Linked DNA regions of Saccharomyces cerevisiae S288C. The gene in region 1 interacts genetically with each later gene. Each region holds a gene or a part of one and is shown on either strand. Other genes may lie near its edges.

Evidence for each region.
Region 2: of RAD9 (region 1) and DNA2, a mutation in one rescues a mutant of the other (synthetic rescue), as found in Saccharomyces cerevisiae (6 studies listed by BioGRID, with this or other methods).
Region 3: mutations in RAD9 (region 1) and TOF1 together harm fitness more than expected from each alone (negative genetic interaction), as found in Saccharomyces cerevisiae (12 studies listed by BioGRID, with this or other methods).
Region 4: mutations in RAD9 (region 1) and RAD5 impair growth when combined (synthetic growth defect), as found in Saccharomyces cerevisiae (10 studies listed by BioGRID, with this or other methods).

What each region holds. Positions count from the first base shown.
Region 1 is NC_001136.10:899,049-905,383, reverse strand, and holds RAD9 (chromatin-binding protein RAD9), read left to right. Parts: upstream 1-1,903; coding exon 1,904-5,833; downstream 5,834-6,335. Other genes in the region: septin SPR28, read left to right, coding at 332-1,603. UniProt on the Saccharomyces cerevisiae protein: Essential for cell cycle arrest at the G2 stage following DNA damage by X-irradiation or inactivation of DNA ligase.
Region 2 is NC_001140.6:424,071-431,130, reverse strand, and holds DNA2 (bifunctional ATP-dependent DNA helicase/ssDNA endodeoxyribonuclease DNA2), read left to right. Parts: upstream 1-1,952; coding exon 1,953-6,521; downstream 6,522-7,060. Other genes in the region: U4/U6-U5 snRNP complex subunit PRP8, read left to right, coding at 1-1,424; 6-phosphogluconolactonase SOL3, read right to left, coding at 6,658-7,060. UniProt on the Saccharomyces cerevisiae protein: Key enzyme involved in DNA replication and DNA repair.
Region 3 is NC_001146.8:121,288-127,131, forward strand, and holds TOF1 (Tof1p), read left to right. Parts: upstream 1-1,595; coding exon 1,596-5,312; downstream 5,313-5,844. Other genes in the region: GOR1 (glyoxylate reductase), read right to left, coding at 1-883; guanine nucleotide exchange factor SEC2, read right to left, coding at 5,518-5,844. UniProt on the Saccharomyces cerevisiae protein: Forms a fork protection complex (FPC) with CSM3 and which is required for chromosome segregation during meiosis and DNA damage repair. FPC coordinates leading and lagging strand synthesis and moves with the replication fork.
Region 4 is NC_001144.5:203,032-209,028, forward strand, and holds RAD5 (DNA helicase RAD5), read left to right. Parts: upstream 1-1,959; coding exon 1,960-5,469; downstream 5,470-5,997. Other genes in the region: YLR030W (uncharacterized protein), read left to right, coding at 259-1,050; YLR031W (uncharacterized protein), read left to right, coding at 1,194-1,754; RSC58 (Rsc58p), read left to right, coding at 5,730-5,997. UniProt on the Saccharomyces cerevisiae protein: Probable helicase, member of the UBC2/RAD6 epistasis group. Functions with the DNA repair protein RAD18 in error-free postreplication DNA repair.

The DNA.
Region 1 (6,335 bases):
TTAGACAAGCATGCATGGTATGTAGAAACAGTTAAAGAGCGCCGCTACCATTTGCACAGATGTACATATAAATAAATGACTTATTTTTTATATTCTATCAATAATAAGACAATTTGTGGTTGCCTTTAGAAATTTCGTGGCTTTTTTTCATATATTCTAACTTCAATAAAGTTTTTTTGATGCGAAATTTGATCGCTCATATTAAGGACGCCTGAAAAAGACATGCGTCTACATTTTGTGTCATTCCCATAAGAATAGTAAGAACAGGCATTTTTATAAATCGATACAAAAAAAGAGCTACTATACGTACATAAAGTCAGTAAATAATCAAATGTTCCCAATGAAAGATCACTCAGCTCTTGAACAACATACTCTCAGCAGAGATGAGTTAAGACGTCGCAAGGGTTACAAGAAAGGACTGCAGTTGTCAATTTTGTTACTTGGAGAAAAAGGCAGCGGCAAATCAACGTTTTTAAACAATCTGTGCGGTCAGGATATATCGCTTTCTGATGGGGATTATGATGATGATGATGATAAAGTGACAAATAATGTAACACCAGAAAATGGAAACGCCATCGAAGATATAGATCCTGGATATAAAACAGCCCATTTGAGTCCTGGGCTGAAGCTTGTCACCAGAAGAGTGTATTTGAACGATGAACTAGGCGTACCCATAACATTAGATATCATATTGTTTCCAGGCTGCGGTGACAATGTCGACAATTCACAAAGCTCTGTTGTTATAAAAAACTACTTAGACCAACAGTTTGCAAATGTTTTAAAAGAAGAGGTCAGAATAAAGAGAAACACAAAAGAAACTGATGGGAGGCCTCATGTTTGTTTATACTTTCTGAAGAGTACTCCAAGAGGAGTCAAAAAATTTGATATTGAGTTAATGAAAACGATTTGTGATAAAGTTAATTTAATTCCCATTATTCCAAAAGCCGATGGTCTCACAGAAACTGAATTAAATTTACACAAAGACATTGTGCGCCAAGAAATCTCTCAGAACAATATACGTGTTTTTGATTTTAAAAGTGACACCCTAGGCGAAACATTAGCTCTGTACGATATGGACATCGATTCCAGTTCAGCAAAATCCAAATACGATAATGACACGAAGATCAAGGAAATATCGCCATTTGCCATTGTTTGCAGCAAAACTTTTAATAAAAATTCGGAAAATAGGGTTGAGCATATCAGAACGTACGAATGGGGTAGCTTGGTGGTCGAAGACCAAAACACCTCCGATTTTATATACTTAAAAGCAATACTGTTAGGTTCTCACCTTCAGGAATTAAAAGATGTAACAAACAACGTATTGTATGAAAATTATAGGGCTAAAGTGTTAACTGAGAAGAAAAACAACTATGATATTCCAAACTATAGCTATATCGACGAAACCTCAAGGGGAAGTGTCAGCAATGTTTCCACCAGAAGAAATAGTGCAAGTAGAACACTTGGGAATCCAGATACAAACGATGAAAATGCTTATCAAATACACAAAGAAATAGACGAAAAAAACAGAATTATTGAAGACTATCAAAGGAAGATTGATTTATTGGAGAAAATGTTGGCAGCTCCCCATCAAAATAAGGTCTAAATAAATATACGGCCTTGTTAGCGTTAGATACATATGAAATAAAATTTTATTGCTTTTTCAAGTGCACTAAAGTATAAGGCAAAATTTTTTTAATCTATAATATACTTTCTCGATGTGTCTCTATATAACCTTGTGTCTTTCTTATTACTGGCACGGCTTTGAATTTTCAGAGTGCAGTTCTGATTAAACACGCGAGGATTTTTGTTCGTGGATATTTGCAACGATGAGCAATGTGAAGTGAGCAAGATAGAGAAACGCCATAGAAAAGAGCATAGTGAGAAAATCTTCAACATCAGGGCTATGTCAGGCCAGTTAGTTCAATGGAAAAGCTCTCCAGATCGAGTCACCCAAAGCGCTATAAAGGAAGCACTGCATTCTCCCTTGGCTGATGGCGACATGAACGAAATGAATGTTCCCGTTGATCCGTTGGAAAACAAGGTAAATAGCACAAACATAATCGAAGGAAGTCCCAAAGCAAATCCAAATCCTGTCAAGTTTATGAATACAAGTGAGATATTTCAAAAATCTCTGGGATTACTTGACGAGAGTCCAAGACATGATGATGAGTTAAATATTGAAGTAGGAGATAATGATCGACCAAATGCTAACATATTGCATAATGAAAGGACTCCTGACCTTGACCGAATTGCTAACTTTTTCAAAAGCAATCGAACCCCTGGTAAAGAAAATCTTTTGACCAAATATCAAAGCTCCGATCTGGAAGACACTCCTCTGATGTTAAGAAAAAAAATGACTTTTCAAACTCCAACTGATCCATTGGAACAGAAAACCTTCAAAAAGTTGAAGTCAGATACTGGGTTTTGCTATTATGGAGAGCAGAATGATGGAGAAGAAAATGCGTCATTAGAAGTTACAGAGGCGGATGCCACTTTTGTACAGATGGCTGAACGTTCTGCTGATAATTATGACTGTGCATTGGAAGGAATTGTTACACCTAAAAGATATAAAGACGAATTAAGTAAAAGTGGAGGAATGCAAGATGAACGAGTTCAAAAAACTCAAATCATGATATCAGCAGAATCACCTAATTCGATAAGCTCTTATGACAAGAACAAAATTACCGGGAATGGCCGGACCACAAGAAATGTAAACAAGGTTTTTAACAATAACGAAGATAACATAGGAGCTATCGAGGAAAAAAATCCAGTAAAAAAGAAAAGTGAGAACTATTCATCAGATGATCTCAGAGAACGGAACAATCAAATAATACAAAGTAATGAATCAGAGGAGATTAACGAATTGGAAAAGAATCTGAATGTTTCGGGTAGAGAGAATGACGTGAACAATTTAGATATCGATATTAATAGTGCTGTGTCTGGCACCCCTTCACGCAACAATGCGGAAGAAGAAATGTATTCCAGTGAGAGTGTAAACAATCGGGAACCATCCAAGAAGTGGATATTCCGATACTCAAAAGACAAAACGGAAAATAATAGCAATAGATCTACGCAAATAGTCAATAATCCAAGAACACAGGAAATGCCTTTAGATAGTATTTCAATCGATACGCAACCCTTATCTAAAAGTTTCAATACCGAAACAAATAATGAATTAGAGACACAGATAATTGTTTCATCGCTTTCCCAAGGCATATCTGCTCAGAAGGGACCTGTTTTTCATTCTACTGGCCAGACAGAAGAAATAAAAACCCAAATAATAAATTCTCCTGAACAAAATGCTTTGAATGCAACCTTTGAAACTCCCGTTACTCTTTCTCGGATTAATTTTGAACCCATATTGGAAGTTCCTGAGACTAGTTCACCATCTAAGAATACGATGTCAAAACCCTCGAATTCTTCACCTATTCCGAAGGAAAAAGATACATTTAATATACACGAGAGAGAAGTAGAGACAAACAATGTTTTTTCAAACGATATACAAAATTCTTCAAATGCAGCTACCAGAGATGACATTATCATAGCCGGTTCATCTGATTTCAACGAACAAAAGGAAATAACCGATAGAATATACTTACAACTTTCAGGAAAGCAAATATCTGATTCAGGAAGTGATGAAACAGAACGTATGTCCCCAAATGAGCTTGATACGAAAAAGGAAAGTACAATCATGAGCGAGGTTGAACTAACCCAAGAACTGCCTGAAGTTGAAGAGCAGCAAGATCTTCAAACGTCTCCAAAAAAGCTGGTAGTCGAGGAAGAAACTTTAATGGAGATAAAAAAAAGCAAGGGGAACTCACTTCAGCTTCATGATGATAATAAAGAATGCAATTCAGATAAACAAGATGGCACAGAGTCTTTGGATGTAGCTTTGATTGAACACGAAAGCAAAGGACAGAGCTCAGAACTTCAGAAAAACCTCATGCAATTATTTCCAAGTGAGTCACAGGAGATTATTCAGAACCGAAGAACAATAAAGCGACGTCAAAAAGATACAATAGAGATCGGTGAAGAGGAGGAGAACAGAAGCACTAAGACATCACCGACAAAACACCTCAAAAGAAATTCAGATTTGGATGCTGCTTCTATCAAAAGGGAACCGTCTTGCAGCATTACCATACAAACAGGGGAGACAGGTTCGGGCAAAGACTCTAAAGAACAGTCTTACGTGTTTCCTGAAGGTATTAGAACGGCAGATAATAGTTTCTTATCGAAAGACGACATAATTTTTGGAAATGCGGTATGGTGTCAGTATACGTGGAATTACAAATTTTATCCGGGTATTTTATTGGAAGTTGACACTAATCAAGATGGCTGTTGGATTTATTTCGAAACAGGAAGATCGCTAACCAAAGATGAGGACATCTACTACTTAGATATTAGAATAGGGGATGCTGTTACCTTTGATGGAAATGAGTACGTAGTCGTTGGTCTAGAATGTCGTAGCCATGATCTCAACATAATAAGATGTATTCGAGGATATGATACGGTTCATTTGAAAAAAAAAAATGCAAGCGGATTGTTGGGGAAAAGGACGTTAATTAAAGCACTAAGCTCGATCAGTCTTGACCTAAGCGAGTGGGCTAAAAGAGCGAAGATCATATTAGAAGATAATGAGAAAAATAAAGGCGACGCGTATAGGTACTTGAGACATCCCATTAGGGGAAGGAAATCAATGACCAATGTTCTGTCTCCGAAGAAACATACTGATGACGAAAAGGACATAAATACGCATACTGAAGTGTACAATAACGAAATAGAATCGAGCTCCGAAAAGAAGGAAATTGTTAAAAAGGATTCTAGAGACGCATTAGCTGAACATGCAGGAGCGCCAAGCCTGCTTTTTTCTTCTGGTGAAATCAGAACAGGGAATGTATTTGATAAATGTATTTTTGTTTTGACAAGCCTATTCGAAAATAGAGAGGAACTTCGACAGACCATTGAATCGCAAGGCGGCACTGTAATTGAGTCAGGATTTTCCACTTTATTTAACTTCACTCATCCGCTAGCTAAATCTTTAGTCAATAAAGGTAATACAGATAATATTCGAGAATTGGCCTTGAAGCTAGCCTGGAAACCTCATTCCCTATTTGCAGACTGCAGATTTGCTTGCCTAATCACAAAACGGCATTTAAGAAGCTTAAAGTACTTAGAAACTTTGGCGTTGGGGTGGCCTACACTACACTGGAAATTCATAAGTGCATGCATTGAAAAGAAAAGAATAGTACCACATTTAATATACCAATACCTATTACCTTCGGGTGAAAGTTTTCGGTTATCGTTAGATTCTCCATCAAAGGGAGGAATCATTAAATCCAACAATATTTTTTCATTTTATACACAATTCTTACGCGGATCTAATTTAAGAGATCAGATATGTGGAGTGAAGAAAATGTTAAATGACTACATTGTTATTGTTTGGGGTAGATCTGAGTTGGACAGTTTTGTCAAATTTGCTTTTGCATGTTTGAGCGCAGGTAGAATGCTTACAATTGATTTACCCAATATTGATGTAGATGATACAGAGCCATTGTTAAATGCCTTAGATTCTTTAGTACCCAGAATAGGATCAGAATTATCTAATCGAAAGTTAAAGTTTCTCATATATGCTAACGAAAATAATGGTAAATCTCAGATGAAGCTTCTCGAAAGATTGAGAAGTCAAATATCACTGAAATTTAAGAAATTTAATTACATATTTCACACTGAATCTAAAGAATGGCTAATTCAGACAATAATTAACGAGGACACTGGTTTTCACGATGATATTACGGACAATGATATATACAACACTATTTCTGAGGTTAGATGAAATTATAAAAATATATAAACTCATAATTGATAGAAAGGGACGATTAAATAAAAAAAAATTTAGAGATTCTTAATTAAGTCTAAGAACATCCTCCCACACGCCAGGAGTGGTTAATGTTCAAGATTGGTATTAGTTATACACGGTAACCAACAACGTTGGTAAGGTCTTTTTCTTCTATACATGAATTTTAAGATCAAGCATATATTTTAGGCTTGCATCTTGTAATGAACTAACTTTCATAAATAGCTTTTCTTTTTTGTATGAGGTATAAGATGAAAAATGTTAAACATGATACAGGATTTAATATAAAATGGACCAAAATAAGGAGCAATAACGAGATTCACCCCAATGGGTGAGATGAGAAACGCCAAGGTAGTGAAATATTTTTGTGCAACAATTTCAAAGATAAGATCGGTGTTCTCCCGCAGTAGTCCACTTCAGTCGCATGCATGGCTGTTTGATGAGAAATAAAATGAGATATTCAAAATCTCATCAGAAAGAG
Region 2 (7,060 bases), on another chromosome or scaffold:
TGCTTGATCCTTTAGAGGTTCACATGCTTGACTTTCCTAACATAGCAATCAGGCCAACAGAGCTGCGACTACCATTTTCAGCTGCAATGTCAATAGATAAACTTTCTGATGTTGTGATGAAAGCTACTGAACCTCAGATGGTTCTGTTTAACATTTATGATGATTGGTTAGACCGTATTTCATCGTACACTGCATTTTCTAGACTTACACTACTTTTAAGAGCTTTAAAGACGAACGAGGAAAGTGCCAAAATGATTCTACTCAGTGACCCCACGATCACTATCAAATCGTACCATTTATGGCCTTCATTCACTGATGAACAATGGATCACTATCGAATCTCAAATGAGAGATTTGATTTTGACTGAGTACGGCAGAAAATACAATGTCAATATATCTGCCTTAACTCAAACGGAAATTAAAGATATTATATTGGGTCAAAATATCAAGGCACCATCTGTGAAGAGACAAAAAATGGCTGAATTAGAAGCTGCCAGGTCAGAAAAGCAGAACGACGAAGAAGCTGCAGGTGCATCAACTGTTATGAAAACTAAAACTATCAATGCGCAAGGTGAGGAGATAGTTGTAGTAGCTTCCGCTGATTACGAAAGTCAAACGTTTAGTTCAAAGAATGAATGGAGAAAATCTGCAATTGCTAATACACTATTATATTTGAGGTTAAAAAACATTTATGTTTCGGCTGATGATTTCGTGGAGGAACAGAATGTTTACGTCCTTCCAAAAAATTTATTAAAGAAGTTTATTGAGATATCCGATGTGAAAATCCAGGTGGCGGCCTTTATTTATGGTATGTCAGCAAAAGATCATCCGAAGGTGAAAGAAATCAAGACTGTTGTGCTGGTACCTCAATTAGGCCACGTAGGATCCGTTCAGATAAGCAACATCCCTGACATCGGAGACCTTCCGGATACTGAAGGCCTTGAACTACTCGGTTGGATCCATACCCAGACAGAAGAACTTAAATTCATGGCTGCGTCTGAAGTAGCAACTCATTCTAAACTTTTTGCGGATAAGAAAAGAGACTGCATTGATATTTCAATTTTTTCCACCCCGGGATCAGTATCATTAAGCGCTTATAACCTGACCGACGAAGGTTACCAATGGGGTGAAGAAAATAAGGATATAATGAACGTGCTATCGGAAGGGTTTGAGCCTACTTTCAGCACGCATGCCCAATTACTTCTCTCTGACCGTATCACAGGTAATTTTATAATTCCATCTGGAAACGTTTGGAACTACACATTTATGGGAACAGCATTTAACCAAGAAGGTGACTACAATTTTAAATACGGCATTCCTTTGGAATTCTATAATGAGATGCATCGTCCAGTACACTTTTTACAGTTTAGCGAATTGGCGGGGGACGAAGAGTTAGAGGCCGAACAAATCGATGTATTTAGCTGAATATATTCCCCAATAAACTGGAATCTGTTATTTCATAGATATATATGTAAGTATAAGTTTGTATGTATAATATTCAACGCATTTTTTATGCCCGTCGTAGTTGCTACCTACCACACGATGATGTATTATAATTTCGGAACTACTTCAAAGCTACGCTTTCCGCACTATGAAAAGCTATAAGTATGTGAAAATTGGTCATTGACTGTGATTCTATTTCAAAAAGTAACCAAAGGAGATAGACATCGTTCGGACAGAAAATGGTCCGTTGTCACTCCCATTCCATTATGTCCTTCATATAGAAATTGGATATTCTTGTTTTCATTTCGCGCAATAAAGCAATTCCGTGCGGCAGAAAGAACTTATATATATTTAACTGATCTTACGCTATTTATGGCAAAACTTGTGTTACATTTTTGAAGATAAAGTTACAATCATTACGGCAGCCTCAAAACAAAATTGGGAGAAAACATACTCAAGTGAGTACTCATTTTGTGCAAGCAAACACTGACAATTGAAGAGATCGTCAGGATGCCCGGAACGCCACAGAAGAACAAGAGGTCTGCGAGTATATCTGTTTCACCTGCGAAGAAGACAGAGGAAAAAGAAATAATACAAAATGATTCAAAGGCGATATTATCTAAGCAAACTAAGAGGAAAAAAAAGTATGCTTTTGCTCCTATAAATAACTTAAATGGGAAGAACACCAAGGTATCCAATGCAAGTGTCCTAAAGTCAATAGCCGTTTCACAAGTACGAAATACATCAAGAACAAAAGATATAAACAAAGCAGTTAGCAAGAGCGTAAAGCAATTACCAAATTCACAAGTTAAACCGAAACGGGAAATGTCTAATTTGAGTAGGCATCACGATTTCACTCAAGACGAGGACGGCCCCATGGAAGAAGTAATATGGAAATATTCACCTTTACAACGAGATATGTCCGACAAAACAACAAGCGCTGCCGAATACTCTGATGACTACGAAGATGTCCAAAATCCCTCTTCTACACCTATAGTCCCTAATCGACTGAAAACTGTTCTTAGTTTCACAAATATCCAAGTACCCAACGCTGACGTAAATCAACTCATTCAAGAAAATGGAAATGAGCAAGTGCGTCCTAAACCAGCAGAAATATCTACCAGGGAGTCTCTCCGTAATATAGATGATATTCTCGATGATATAGAGGGCGATTTAACTATAAAACCGACGATAACGAAATTCAGCGATTTGCCATCTTCACCCATCAAGGCACCCAACGTTGAAAAAAAAGCAGAGGTGAATGCAGAAGAAGTAGATAAAATGGATTCAACAGGAGATAGCAACGATGGCGATGACTCTTTGATAGATATTTTAACTCAAAAGTATGTTGAGAAACGCAAGAGTGAGAGTCAGATAACAATTCAAGGCAACACCAATCAAAAAAGTGGAGCCCAGGAAAGTTGTGGGAAGAATGATAACACAAAATCGAGAGGAGAAATTGAAGATCATGAAAATGTAGACAATCAAGCCAAAACAGGCAATGCATTTTATGAGAATGAAGAAGACAGTAATTGCCAAAGAATTAAAAAAAATGAAAAAATAGAATACAATTCTTCAGACGAATTTTCAGACGATTCACTAATTGAACTATTGAACGAAACTCAAACACAAGTGGAACCTAACACTATTGAACAAGATTTAGACAAAGTGGAGAAAATGGTCTCTGACGATTTGAGAATTGCTACTGATTCCACTTTATCCGCATATGCTCTCAGAGCTAAGTCTGGTGCTCCAAGAGACGGCGTAGTACGATTAGTAATAGTAAGCTTACGTAGTGTTGAATTGCCAAAAATTGGAACGCAAAAAATACTAGAGTGTATAGACGGCAAAGGCGAACAAAGTTCTGTTGTCGTTCGACATCCTTGGGTATATTTGGAATTTGAGGTTGGGGATGTAATACATATTATAGAAGGGAAAAATATTGAAAACAAACGGCTTCTTTCTGACGACAAAAACCCTAAAACTCAACTGGCTAACGACAACCTGTTGGTGCTAAACCCTGATGTATTATTTTCGGCAACATCAGTCGGAAGTTCAGTAGGTTGTTTAAGACGTTCAATTCTGCAAATGCAATTTCAAGATCCCCGCGGAGAACCAAGCCTTGTCATGACTTTAGGCAATATCGTACACGAGTTATTGCAAGACTCAATCAAATACAAGCTCTCGCATAATAAAATTTCTATGGAAATCATAATACAAAAGCTGGATTCTTTGTTAGAAACTTATTCTTTTTCAATTATCATTTGTAATGAAGAAATCCAGTACGTTAAAGAATTAGTTATGAAAGAACATGCTGAAAACATTTTGTACTTCGTCAATAAATTTGTTTCGAAAAGTAACTATGGTTGCTACACATCAATTTCCGGAACAAGAAGAACACAGCCAATTTCTATATCCAATGTGATTGATATTGAAGAAAACATTTGGTCTCCAATATATGGTCTTAAAGGGTTCCTAGATGCAACTGTTGAAGCTAATGTTGAAAACAATAAAAAACACATCGTTCCTTTAGAAGTGAAAACTGGAAAATCCAGAAGCGTTTCATACGAGGTTCAAGGCCTTATTTATACACTTCTGTTAAATGATCGCTATGAGATACCGATAGAGTTTTTTCTTCTTTATTTTACGAGGGATAAAAATATGACAAAGTTCCCTTCTGTTCTGCACTCCATTAAACATATTCTCATGTCCCGAAATAGAATGAGTATGAATTTTAAGCATCAACTCCAAGAGGTTTTCGGACAGGCTCAATCAAGGTTTGAATTACCACCCTTACTGCGCGATTCATCTTGTGATTCATGTTTCATCAAAGAATCATGCATGGTGTTGAATAAGCTACTAGAGGACGGGACACCAGAAGAAAGTGGCCTGGTAGAAGGTGAGTTTGAAATTTTGACAAACCATTTGTCGCAAAATCTCGCCAACTACAAAGAGTTTTTTACAAAATATAATGATCTAATAACTAAGGAGGAGTCAAGTATAACATGTGTAAATAAAGAACTTTTCTTATTGGATGGTTCCACAAGAGAATCCAGAAGTGGAAGGTGCCTTTCTGGCTTGGTTGTGTCAGAGGTGGTTGAACATGAAAAAACAGAGGGAGCGTATATATATTGCTTCTCAAGACGTAGAAATGATAATAACTCGCAGTCGATGTTATCATCTCAAATTGCTGCTAATGACTTTGTTATTATTAGTGATGAGGAGGGTCATTTTTGCTTGTGCCAAGGTCGTGTACAATTTATAAATCCCGCTAAAATTGGTATCTCCGTAAAACGAAAGTTATTAAACAATAGGCTTCTAGATAAGGAAAAAGGAGTCACTACCATCCAAAGTGTGGTCGAATCAGAGCTAGAACAATCCAGTCTCATAGCTACCCAAAATTTGGTCACATATAGAATCGACAAAAATGATATCCAACAGAGTTTGTCTTTAGCGCGATTTAATCTTTTAAGCTTGTTTTTACCAGCTGTTTCACCTGGCGTGGATATTGTTGACGAAAGGAGTAAATTATGTCGGAAGACAAAGAGATCTGATGGAGGTAATGAAATACTGCGATCACTTTTAGTTGATAATAGAGCACCTAAGTTTAGAGATGCAAATGATGATCCCGTCATTCCGTATAAGCTTTCAAAGGATACAACATTGAACTTGAATCAAAAAGAAGCAATAGACAAAGTAATGAGGGCCGAAGATTATGCATTGATATTGGGAATGCCAGGGACTGGTAAGACTACTGTTATCGCAGAAATTATTAAAATTCTCGTTTCCGAGGGGAAACGCGTGCTTTTGACATCATACACACATTCAGCAGTGGATAATATTTTAATAAAATTGAGGAACACCAACATTAGCATAATGAGATTGGGAATGAAACATAAGGTCCATCCTGACACGCAAAAATATGTCCCGAATTACGCGTCAGTGAAAAGTTATAACGATTATTTGTCCAAAATTAACAGCACCTCTGTTGTTGCTACCACCTGCTTAGGAATTAACGATATACTATTTACACTAAATGAAAAGGATTTTGATTATGTGATTTTGGACGAGGCAAGTCAAATTTCAATGCCTGTCGCTTTGGGACCTCTGCGGTATGGAAATAGGTTTATTATGGTAGGAGATCATTACCAGCTACCGCCATTAGTTAAAAATGACGCAGCTCGATTAGGTGGGTTAGAAGAGTCACTGTTCAAGACTTTCTGTGAAAAGCATCCGGAAAGCGTTGCAGAACTGACTTTACAGTACCGTATGTGCGGCGATATTGTAACTTTGTCTAATTTCCTAATTTATGATAATAAATTAAAATGCGGGAATAACGAAGTTTTTGCTCAATCTTTAGAGTTACCAATGCCTGAGGCCTTGTCGCGCTATAGGAATGAATCGGCTAACTCTAAGCAGTGGCTTGAGGATATACTAGAGCCTACAAGAAAAGTGGTATTTTTAAATTACGATAACTGCCCGGATATTATCGAACAAAGCGAAAAGGATAACATTACGAATCACGGGGAGGCAGAATTGACTCTACAATGTGTGGAAGGAATGTTATTGAGCGGCGTACCATGCGAAGATATTGGTGTAATGACGTTATACAGAGCACAGTTAAGATTACTGAAGAAGATATTCAACAAAAATGTGTATGACGGGCTAGAGATCTTGACTGCTGATCAGTTTCAAGGTCGTGACAAAAAGTGCATTATTATTTCCATGGTTAGAAGAAATTCTCAATTAAATGGAGGAGCGCTGCTGAAAGAGCTAAGAAGAGTCAATGTTGCCATGACAAGGGCCAAATCCAAGCTGATCATTATAGGTTCAAAAAGTACAATCGGCTCTGTTCCTGAAATAAAATCGTTCGTGAACCTGTTAGAAGAGCGTAATTGGGTCTATACAATGTGCAAGGATGCACTCTACAAATACAAATTTCCCGACAGATCAAACGCTATTGATGAGGCACGCAAAGGTTGTGGAAAAAGAACAGGTGCCAAACCCATCACATCAAAGTCTAAATTCGTAAGCGATAAACCTATCATAAAGGAAATTCTACAAGAGTATGAAAGTTGACAGGGGGAATAAGAAGAGCTTCTCCATAACAGGAAAGCTATCACAGCATAAAATATCTATGTCATTTTATAAAGTTTGGTATATATAACACGTAATATTAGCATCTGAGGTTCGAAAGCTCGCATGTGTGTCTTTTCTAAAAAGTTTTCGTTTGAACTTTTCCAAAAGCTTCCTCATTAACGAACCAGGATGTTTTTTCACCAAATAATTTGTTAACCAATGCGGTTGGCAATTGATCGTTTTTCAAGTCAAAGATCTCATGCATTATATTTTGTTTGGAACTGCCCTCAGCCACAAAACACAGGGCTTTGGCGTCTTTCAACACAGGCAGAGTGAAGGTGATTCTGTCACTTGGAGGCTTGGGAGAATCGTGGCACCAAGCAACTCTTTTGGTTGTTTCGTTCAGCAAGTACCTATGTGTTTCTCCAGGGAATAAGGAACAAGTGTGTCCATCAGGACCACAGCCCAACAGTACCAAATCAAGCACTTGAGGTACGATACGCTCGTACTCTGCAGCAATTTTGTTGTTAGATTCAGCA
Region 3 (5,844 bases), on another chromosome or scaffold:
GGGACATCGATAATAACTCTTTGGATATTTTTGGCTCATATTCGAAAACGTCCAAACCAGCACTTCTAATCTTTCCAGAACGCAAAGCATCAGTCATGGCTTGTTCGTCTATCACGGCACCACGCGCTGTGTTAACAATAACTACACCATCTTTCATTTTTTCAATAGTCTCTGCATTGATTAGATGGTGAGTATTGTGGTTCAGTGGGACGTTTACAGATACTATATCAGAACGCTTCAAAAACTCCTCGAATCCTACATATTCACAACCATGCTCTTCTTCGGAAGGAAGCTGGTGTCTGTTATGATATATGAAATTCTCGAACCCAAACGGCTTCAATCTCTCTAAAATACAACGACCAATCCTACCTAGACCCAGTATACCAACTGTTTTCCCTTCAGGGTCGTATCCAAAGGGAGAACCACATGCGGGTCCTGCCTCCGGCCAGTTTCCCTCGATCAACCTTCTGTTACCAATACCGAAGTTTCTTAGGGCACCCAATAGCAAAAATACATGCGTATCAGCGGTAGCATTGCTAACTAAATCAGGAACATTGGCAACCTGGATGTGCCTTTTCTTGAATGGCTCAACATCAATTTGGTCATAACCAGCACCAGTATGACATACAGCCACTACGGAGGAGGGCAAAGCAAGAGCAAGCTCTTCATCAAATCTACCGGTGTTTTTCACACTCCTTGCTGTTCTAGTAATGACTTGTACTTGGGAGAGCTTATTTTGTGGGTCTTTTACCTCCCGCAAAAACTGTTCTCTAGTGGTGGATTCAGGGATGGTAATTACATCCGCAATCTTTTCCAATTCCCCCCAGGCTTGGTCACCAAAGGCATCCTTTCCTAATTTCAAAACAATTGGTTTCTTACTCATATTCTCTTCTCCTCTTCTTGCTCGTTTATGTATTGTTAATACTTCGGTATTGTAGAGCAATAATCATGTAGAAGGATTTCCCTAACGTAACAACAAGGCCAATAGAATTTACTTTTTATATGCTCGAGATTAGTGAAAAATGGGATAAGATTGCCTTGTTATCCCCGCCCCCTGCCAAGACTTTTGCAGATTTTAAGTCCGCTCTCGGTCCTACGTAATAAATGCCTGGAGAAGCTCTAGAGCTAATTGCGTCGTCCTTCAGGAATTCTGAAGACCACAGCAACGCAATCAGATGGCGGAACCACATTATGAAGCCAAGTGAGGTGTATACAGAGTTATACGTACTTTTCATCCATCCCCGCTCGGTTTCACCGTTCATAACGCTGGTTTTCACTGCCACTTCTCATATCAAGTCAGCGAAATAACCAGTAGTTGTCCTGTATATAGGCATCCCTACCGTTTGCTTTAGGAAGCTGTTCTGTGTTACTATCACAACTGGGTAGTGCCCTGTATGAATTGCTTCCCTGTGGAAATGGCCCTTCCATTATGCTACTTTGACGCGTTTACTGCCGCATTACGCGTTTACGATGAAAAATTAAAATGAGTATTAAGGATTTTTCAAATGAGATATGGTTCGTAAGTCGCCTCACATATGATAATACCATCTAGCTTGTGGGGTTTAGTGTATCTTTAATATAGGAGGGCGCACACTATGTCTGCTGATTTGCAACAAGGCACTACAAATGCGGCTGATTTCTCTCTGACGGTACTTAGAGCAAGAATTGCTTTATTGGCAACTGCCATCGGTGGGCCGGATTATACTTCCCAGATAGACCCACCCCCTTATAAGCTTGGCGATGACTGTTTGGCGTGCTTAAAAGATCTGAAAAGATGGTTTAAACTAGTGGATGACCAGCAGAAAAGATGGGATGTGGCAATGGCAGTAGCTGAATATCGCATCTTGACGGATGATCTGTTACCTATTCTGATAGATTGGGAAAACAAATGTTCTCTTGCAGCAAAGCTTGCAAAGAACAACCCAGACCATGAAGAGTTTAGAAACAAAGCTTATTACGATAAAATTGCGCTAAATTGTCTACAACTATTGGTCCTTATGACTTGGCCTTTAATTGTAACTGAACAGTCTTCATCAAATCAAATTACTCTCTATGGTGAGCTAAAGAAGCATCAATTGGTATACAAGAAAACGATTCTGTCTATGGAAAGTGGTAAAGTGTTAAGAGCTGCCATTAGATTGGCTCTGGATGTTATCAAAATCGACCGATTATCAAGAACTCCTAGGGACAATATGGTTCTCAAATTGGTTTTGAATTTTTTCAGAAATGTCATTGCTATAGAACCCGGTGAATTTACTATCAATACTAAGAAAAGCATGCCTAAGAAAGGTATCACATCTATCGATACTTTGCCACCAAACGTCTCTATGGATGACATCTCTTTAAATACGGTTATTTCCTCATTCCATAAAAACAAGGTATTCGGTTTCCTCTTAACGCTGACCAGCTCCTTATCAAAAGAGTTTGACCAGGACTTTATCAATATCCCACTGTTGGAGATTATGTTCTACTTCACTAAAGATGTTAACCAAGAACTGCTATTCCCTCGACAGTTCGAAACCGGGACACATTCAAAGGTGGTAAATAAAAATGAGAGCTCCTCTGCTAATAACATTGTTACAAGTGCAGGTTTTGAACTATCGAAGTTATTACAAAAGGAACACCAAATGAGAAAAAACGTTATCAAGCATACATCTGCAAGACACTCCAGATTTGGTGGTCTTTTATCTATACAAACACCAGATAAAACTAGGTTAACTGTTTCTGGTAGCCAAGCTCTCGTAGATGAAAAAATAGCGCTCCAAAAACTAGATGACAGCAAAAAATGGAATAAAAGAATAATTAAAAAGCATCAATCTGTCGCAGCTGAGGGCTTACCGAATAGTCTCTTGAATTCACAAACCGGTAAAGCTATTTTTTTCACCGAATCAAATGGTAAACATTTCAAAGAATTCATCAACAACTTTATAGATTCCGGCTTTAACATCTTGTTGCATAGTGTGACGAACTACTTCACAACTGAGCAGGATAGGATGGTAACTTTGGAGCAAGTCGAATATTTACTTTTCTTTGCATGGTTTGTTAAATACCAGTTGTTGAGGTCCAAAATCGACAATTCCGCAGATATAAAGCAAGTTTCAGAAGCCTTGAAAGAGGTGACTTTCATTCTAGTGTCTTCTCTTTTAAGAAGCGCATATGACCTGAAAAATTGGACAGTGACACATGCTGGTATGATTGCATTTAATGAACTGTTGAACCTCGTTTCCCGTACAAAGGCCGCTCAAGAAGAGGATTCGACCGATATAGAATTCATTGTAAGTAGGCTTTTCAGTGACGAGAGAATACAATTACTGTCAAATCTGCCGAAGATTGGTTCCAAATACTCCCTCCAATTCATGAAAAGTTGCATTGAACTAACACACTCGGTATTGAAAGTATTAGAGCAATACTCTGACGATAAAACATTAGTTATTGAAGGCAAATCAAGACGGCAAAAAAAGTTTAATATTTCAGAAGGTGATATTACTAAATTGATAGAAGAAGAAAATGTAGATAGAGATGAAGCGCTTGATATTCTAACCTCTTCTTTAAGAAGTATAGAAGTCAATTTTCAAAAGGTGCAAGCCAACTATATGACAGAACCGGTAATAGAAACGTACATTAATTTCCTTGAAAGATTTCGTGAGCTTGAGGACGATTCCATTAAAAAAGTATTTTCCTTTTTCCATAGAGTATTTGTTCAGGCAAAAGAACAGGCATTGTTATTTAGATTTGATTTGATAATATTATTAAGAGAAATGCTTTCACCTGACGGATTAGATAGAATGTCTCGTTCAAGGAAATATGTGAGTCAATTTTCAGACTACTTCCTCGCCAGGTTGAAGAAAAGGTTAAAGAAATCACCTGCTTGGTTTGTTGGATTACTTTTCCCGCCATTACACAATAGTGAAGTAGGATTTTACCAAAGATATGGTGAATATAATGTACTTAATAATGAATCAATGTATGCCGCTCCTGCATCACAGTTCAAACCAATTCCCGATGAAGAAGCCTTACCACCTTCGATTTTGTTGGATATGAAATATGGTGTTTTAGTTTCCACATTACTTGATGATGGAAAAACTGAACTATTGGACCAACTGCTCAAGCATATAACCCACACACTAGATATTTTTAAGTCGTGGCTAACCGTAAATGTTAATGCTGGGAAAGAAACAGTTAATCCACCCAATGAATATTTCACATTGACAGGTGTACTCAACAACGACCCTATTTTTAAAGATAAGGACTACAGGGCTTTATTGTTGCTGATAGGATACTCCATTCCACGTAAAATCAATGAACCTTGTTTTTTACCGGGGACTGTTGAAGTTTCTGACCTGACTGTTTCTTGTGAACTAGTGAAAAAATACTTATCAACACCATTTGAAACTCCAAACGGACTGCCTTCTTCTTCCTATCTTCTACGAGTTCGTTCAGAAAAGGATAGTTTTTCTCACAATGAACAAGATGGATGGGAAGGAGACGATGATTATGATTACAACGATCCCTACATTGTTCCAGATGATCAAATTTTATCGAAAAGCGACGCAGCATACTTCAAGGATTTAGATAACAATGCATCAGATAAACTTAAAGGTACCAAATTCAGTAAAGGGATTGCGAGATCCAAAAAAAAAGATAAGAGGAAGCGTAGGAAAGGAGAAGCCAAGACTAATTTGCCAATGTTTGGCGACCAGGATGATGAACGACCTCAGACCGTTAGAGAACGCCATGGCGTATTCAGTAAAGAGTTTATTAGTGATTCAGAAGATGACGAGGATTTGATGAACCCTATATTTTTTGAAAACGAAACATATATGAGATGGTTACTAGATAAAAACAATGGTCAGTTGACCGAGGATAGATATATCCAGTTTGCCAAATTTGCCGCGGAAAGGATGAATAATGGGGGTGTTGTGACAGGAGATTATACGAGCTTGTTTGGTGGATCCATACCAAGTATTGAAAGCATAAGAGCTACAGAAAGTAGTTCCTTTGCGCCAGATAAAAGCCTCATTTCTTTAGCAAGCCACGTGGCATCTGAAATGTCTATTTTCGATGTAAATAATAACAATAATAATCAACTCTCTGATGACGATGTCAACTCGGAATCAAGAAATAGTTTGGGCTCATCACAGCCATCAAATTCGCAAAATATGTTCCAATCTGAGGTGTATAGCAGAAAAGAATCTACAAAGCGTTCTTTGGAAGCGAGTGCAGCCGATGAAAGCGATGAAGATGAAGAGGCCATCCGCCTTTTTGGCAAAAAGTCTAGAGTTGTTTTGAGCCAAGGTGATAGTGATGATTGAGAATGAATATGTAGTAATTAATCCCTTTAATACGTGTAATTTTAGAACCACTTCTTTACTCTGTTTTTAAGTTCAAAGTATTGACATAATATTAAAACAATACATGCGATTCATTCTTTATCATTACCTATATTTTTCTAAGTTGTTGAACATCTTAAGGAACTCAAATGTCCATTAGGACACATAAAATTAAATATTATATAATTTATTGCTGTTCCTGGGCATCATCGAAATTGTCATCATTGCTTGAAGACGCATGCAATCCGCTACTAGGACTATTTTCCCCTATTTGTTCTTGGGTTTTGTCGCCTATCGTCAAGTTTGTCTTTAAAGTTTTTTCATTATTATCCTTCTTAGAGTTCTCGTCTCCAGAAGATGCCCTCTTCGAGGATATATTTTGTTTTACATTAGACTCAGCGTTTTCAAATTCAGTCTGATCAATTGCGCTTTCTTCTCTAAATTGCTCTTCTAAATCATCCAAATCTTGGAGTAACTTCTTCTTTTGTATCTTGCGTTGAGGAGCCTTTTTCTT
Region 4 (5,997 bases), on another chromosome or scaffold:
AATAAATTTTAGAAACACCCTCTTATGAAGGGCGGCAAAACATATTAAGTAAGTGTCGATTGTTAAACACTTCCCCTTTTTTTATGCATAGTAAAAGGTACAAAGAAAATAGCGTACCGTCCTTAAATCAATATAGAAATATAATGAAAAAATAAGTGCTTTGATAAGAATATCTTGAATACAAATTAAGAAGTGTATATTTATAGATATTTTCGTTTCAGCTTGTGTCTGTGTGTGGCCTTATATGTAATATATGAGATGGAAGGTGAACAAATTATGGAGTATGTTCAAGAGACACCGATCATTCCAAAAAGGATTATCCATTATTCGATTCCAAAACAAATGATCACAAAGCCCGCTCCCCATGTCGAGATGACGTTGGTAGCTAATACTTTTCGGGACATGGACTTGCCGCAGCATCCGGTTATCCATGATTGTTGGCAAAATAAAGAGTACTCAACTCAAAGATATTCAGGAAATGTGGCTCAACAGAGATTAAGTTTTGAGGAACATCCAAATGAAGAGTGTCAAAATTCTGTTGGGTTAATCAAGAGAGTGAGTACTTTCTTTAAAAAGAGGCCATTGTCTCGAAAGAATAGCATAAAGTCAATCGGTGACGTAAAATCGGAGGCACGTAACCGGGGAGAAGGCCTCCTGGGTGAAGTTGATAATCTTAACGAGCAGAATGTCCGAGAAAACCTGACTAGTGAACATGAAAAGAGTCCTGAAGGAGATTCCAAAAGGTATGGCCTGTTCTCCTTTGAAGAGACCCCCCCTATACAAGTGTTGGAGCAGGGCAATATCAATTCTGAGCTTTCTTCATTTAAAAACACTTCTTTGGCGGAAAACAAACGCTCTTCTGACAGCTTCGTTTCGTTAAAACCGGGTGAAGATGAACATAGCCCTTTAGAGATTAGTACGTGTGGTAATTTGACTGAAAGAGAGGATTTGCAATCTGGCGAAGAACGGTTTGACTCAGCAGCCCAAAATATAAAGGTAGCTTCGATGAAGGAAAAAAAAAAAATCTTCAAAGGGAACAAAACAGATTAATCACTGAGATTATACGCCTCGAAAACATACTAAATAAGCATAGGAAGGCTGAAGCTAAGAATAATATTAACAAACTTGAAAAGAAGTTGAGTGAAACAGATGGTTTTACATCTGTAAACACATCAGTTCCAGTAACTCCTATTATGCCGGTCTTAAATACGAGAACTTCTTATCCCAATATCGACTTTCATGGTACTAAGGTTTCTGATGTTCTAGATGCCTTTGAATTTGAAAAGCATGATGATCCCTTAAGGGATAAATGGAACACTTTACAGTTTTTGGAAAAGAGCTTTGAATCTAAATTTGAATCTGCATCAGAGTTAATCCAAGGAGGCGAGCTAGCTGCTATTAAAGAAAGAAATTTTCAATTAGCCAAACTAAATAATCTTTGCTTTCGGGTACGAGAGTCCATCAAAAGAAGACAAGACCTGGAGAAAAAGTTAAGAACTTTATCGCAGGACACTGACAACGAATTGCTTTTTCTGATGTTGGAAAATGAGAGAAGAAAGAAAAGTTCAGTGATAATAGAGTTTCTTTCTGAGATAATCAGAGAGAAATCCAAAAGATTAACTGCAGAAGAGCAAGGCTTTGTAAATCAAAATGAAGTAAAACCCCTCATTCTGGACCTTTCTGCACGGATAAATAGATTGAATTCTATTCTAGAAACAAAAAATACTTGTATTAGAAGATTAAGTAATCAATAAGTAGTTAAATTTTCATAAATTATTACTTTCTTACATGTTAGTTGGCGCGTCGTCTGGCTGAAAATTTTACGCGTCATAAACCCTTAACTTTTCCACACATTATTCCTTACTGCTAAGCGCATTGCTCACTTGAAAGTAAATTATCTACAAAGTTACATTATCAAAAGGCCTTAGAAACACACCTAAAGTCTTACAGTATCACAATATGAGTCATATTGAACAGGAAGAAAGGAAGAGGTTTTTTAACGATGACCTTGACACTTCAGAAACATCGTTAAACTTCAAATCTGAGAATAAAGAGTCGTTTTTATTTGCAAATAGTCATAATGATGATGATGATGATGTTGTTGTATCAGTGAGTGATACAACAGAAGGAGAGGGAGACCGATCTATTGTGCCAGTCAGGCGAGAAATAGAAGAAGAAGGCCAGAATCAGTTTATTACAGAGCTTTTAAGGATTATTCCAGAAATGCCAAAGGATCTTGTGATGGAACTTAATGAAAAATTCGGCAGTCAGGAGGAAGGGCTCTCTTTAGCATTATCACATTACTTTGATCACAATAGCGGGACGTCTATCAGCAAAATACCGTCTTCCCCGAATCAACTAAATACACTCTCAGATACCTCAAATTCAACCTTGTCCCCATCTTCATTCCATCCTAAAAGAAGAAGAATATACGGGTTCAGAAACCAAACACGATTAGAAGATAAAGTTACTTGGAAAAGATTTATAGGTGCTTTGCAAGTCACTGGTATGGCTACCAGACCCACCGTCAGGCCCTTGAAGTACGGCTCTCAGATGAAGCTAAAGAGATCAAGTGAAGAGATTTCTGCTACTAAAGTATATGACTCACGTGGTAGAAAGAAAGCGTCCATGGCTAGTTTGGTAAGAATTTTTGATATCCAATATGATAGAGAAATTGGCAGAGTTTCGGAAGACATTGCTCAAATACTATACCCTCTTTTAAGTTCACACGAAATAAGTTTTGAAGTTACATTGATTTTTTGTGATAATAAACGGTTGAGTATAGGTGATAGCTTTATTCTACAATTGGATTGCTTTTTAACATCTCTCATTTTTGAGGAACGTAATGATGGAGAATCCTTGATGAAAAGAAGACGTACAGAGGGAGGAAATAAAAGAGAGAAAGACAATGGAAATTTTGGAAGAACATTGACTGAAACTGATGAAGAGCTAGAAAGCCGCTCGAAAAGACTGGCTCTACTAAAGTTATTTGATAAATTGAGGCTAAAGCCTATTTTGGACGAGCAGAAGGCATTAGAAAAGCATAAAATAGAGCTTAATAGTGACCCCGAAATCATTGATTTAGATAACGACGAGATTTGCTCTAATCAAGTGACTGAAGTCCATAACAATCTCCGAGATACTCAGCACGAAGAAGAAACAATGAACTTGAATCAATTGAAAACATTTTATAAGGCCGCACAATCATCAGAATCTTTAAAAAGTTTGCCTGAAACAGAACCTTCTCGCGATGTCTTCAAGCTAGAACTAAGAAATTATCAAAAGCAAGGTCTTACTTGGATGCTAAGGAGGGAGCAAGAGTTTGCCAAAGCAGCCTCTGATGGTGAGGCTTCAGAAACGGGTGCTAATATGATAAACCCATTATGGAAGCAGTTCAAATGGCCAAATGATATGTCGTGGGCAGCTCAAAATTTGCAGCAGGACCATGTAAACGTTGAAGATGGCATATTCTTTTATGCGAACTTACATTCTGGTGAATTTTCGCTAGCAAAACCTATATTAAAAACTATGATAAAGGGTGGCATATTATCAGATGAAATGGGGTTGGGTAAAACAGTGGCAGCGTATTCTTTAGTTTTATCTTGTCCTCACGATAGTGATGTTGTTGACAAGAAACTGTTTGATATTGAGAACACAGCAGTCTCAGATAATCTTCCAAGCACTTGGCAAGATAATAAGAAACCATATGCTTCAAAAACAACGCTAATCGTGGTCCCAATGTCTTTGTTAACGCAGTGGAGTAACGAGTTTACAAAAGCTAATAATTCCCCCGATATGTATCATGAGGTGTATTATGGTGGGAATGTTTCCAGTTTGAAAACCCTATTAACCAAGACAAAAACCCCTCCAACTGTAGTCCTTACTACATATGGTATTGTTCAAAATGAATGGACTAAACATTCCAAGGGAAGGATGACAGATGAGGACGTCAATATATCTTCAGGCTTATTTTCTGTCAATTTTTATCGCATAATAATCGACGAGGGTCATAACATTAGAAACAGAACGACAGTTACATCTAAAGCAGTCATGGCTTTACAAGGCAAATGTAAATGGGTTTTAACAGGAACACCAATTATTAACAGGCTTGACGATTTATACAGTCTGGTTAAGTTTTTAGAGTTAGATCCCTGGCGGCAAATTAATTACTGGAAGACCTTTGTATCAACGCCTTTTGAGAGTAAAAATTACAAACAAGCATTTGATGTGGTGAATGCAATTCTGGAACCCGTATTGTTAAGAAGGACAAAACAAATGAAAGATAAAGATGGTAAGCCATTAGTAGAGTTGCCACCAAAGGAGGTCGTTATTAAAAGACTTCCCTTCAGTAAATCTCAAGATCTTCTATACAAGTTTCTGTTGGATAAGGCTGAAGTTTCTGTTAAATCGGGTATTGCACGCGGTGATTTATTGAAAAAGTACTCCACTATCCTTGTCCATATTTTAAGATTGAGGCAAGTCTGTTGCCATCCCGGTCTTATTGGGAGTCAAGATGAGAACGATGAGGATTTATCTAAAAATAATAAATTGGTTACGGAACAAACGGTGGAGCTTGACTCTTTAATGCGTGTTGTTTCCGAGAGATTCGATAACTCATTTTCTAAGGAGGAATTAGATGCAATGATACAAAGATTAAAAGTTAAATATCCAGACAATAAATCGTTTCAGTCCTTAGAGTGCTCCATCTGCACAACGGAACCTATGGATTTGGACAAGGCTTTATTTACAGAATGCGGCCACAGTTTTTGTGAGAAATGTTTATTTGAATATATTGAGTTTCAGAACAGTAAGAATTTGGGTTTAAAGTGCCCCAATTGCCGTAACCAAATAGACGCTTGTCGGTTGTTGGCATTGGTACAAACGAATAGCAACTCGAAAAATTTGGAATTCAAACCATATTCACCAGCCTCCAAATCAAGCAAAATCACTGCTTTATTGAAGGAGCTTCAATTGCTACAGGATAGTTCGGCAGGCGAACAAGTTGTCATTTTTTCCCAATTTTCTACATACTTGGATATCCTGGAGAAAGAGCTAACTCATACTTTCTCAAAAGATGTTGCAAAAATTTATAAATTCGATGGACGTCTCTCATTAAAAGAAAGAACTAGTGTATTAGCAGATTTTGCCGTTAAAGACTATAGCAGGCAAAAAATCCTATTACTCTCGCTGAAGGCTGGTGGCGTGGGTTTGAATCTAACGTGTGCTTCCCACGCTTATATGATGGACCCATGGTGGTCGCCCAGTATGGAAGATCAGGCAATCGATAGACTGCATAGAATTGGCCAGACAAACAGCGTCAAAGTTATGAGATTTATCATACAAGATAGCATAGAAGAAAAAATGCTACGCATTCAAGAAAAGAAGAGAACCATCGGTGAGGCCATGGACACAGACGAAGACGAGAGAAGAAAAAGGAGAATTGAAGAAATCCAGATGCTGTTTGAATAGTCATACCACATACTCATATATAAAGACTTTATTTATTATTATTTTCAACCCGAAAGAACTAATTATTCTTCAGCTACTTCATGCAACTTCTATTATCTTCCTTTTCCGTTACCCGTATTTTTAAGTTGCAATTATTAAAAAAACAATTAAGAAAATAAAACAGCGCCATAAGGCATGGACGATAGAAATACGAAGACGAAGAAAATCATCATCAGTCGGGATCAAATAAGAGATAATTTTGAAAATCGAAAGTTTTCATTATGACAGAAAGTGTAGGTGGAAATAAACTAGTAGATTTTTTGGTAAATGTTCAATCCATTTTGAATGCTGCCTCTGTGAAATGTCATGTAGTAGATGAAAGTTTTCCAGCCAAGTTCTTTGAGAAAAATCCGGATAAGATATATGAATCATATTGTAAATTCATTAAAAATAGAAGTAACTCTGAAGGTTTGATACGTAATGAAGATAAATTAGTTTTGACAACTATCAATAAGAGGTTTGAAAATGGAGAGTACGAACCCATACAAG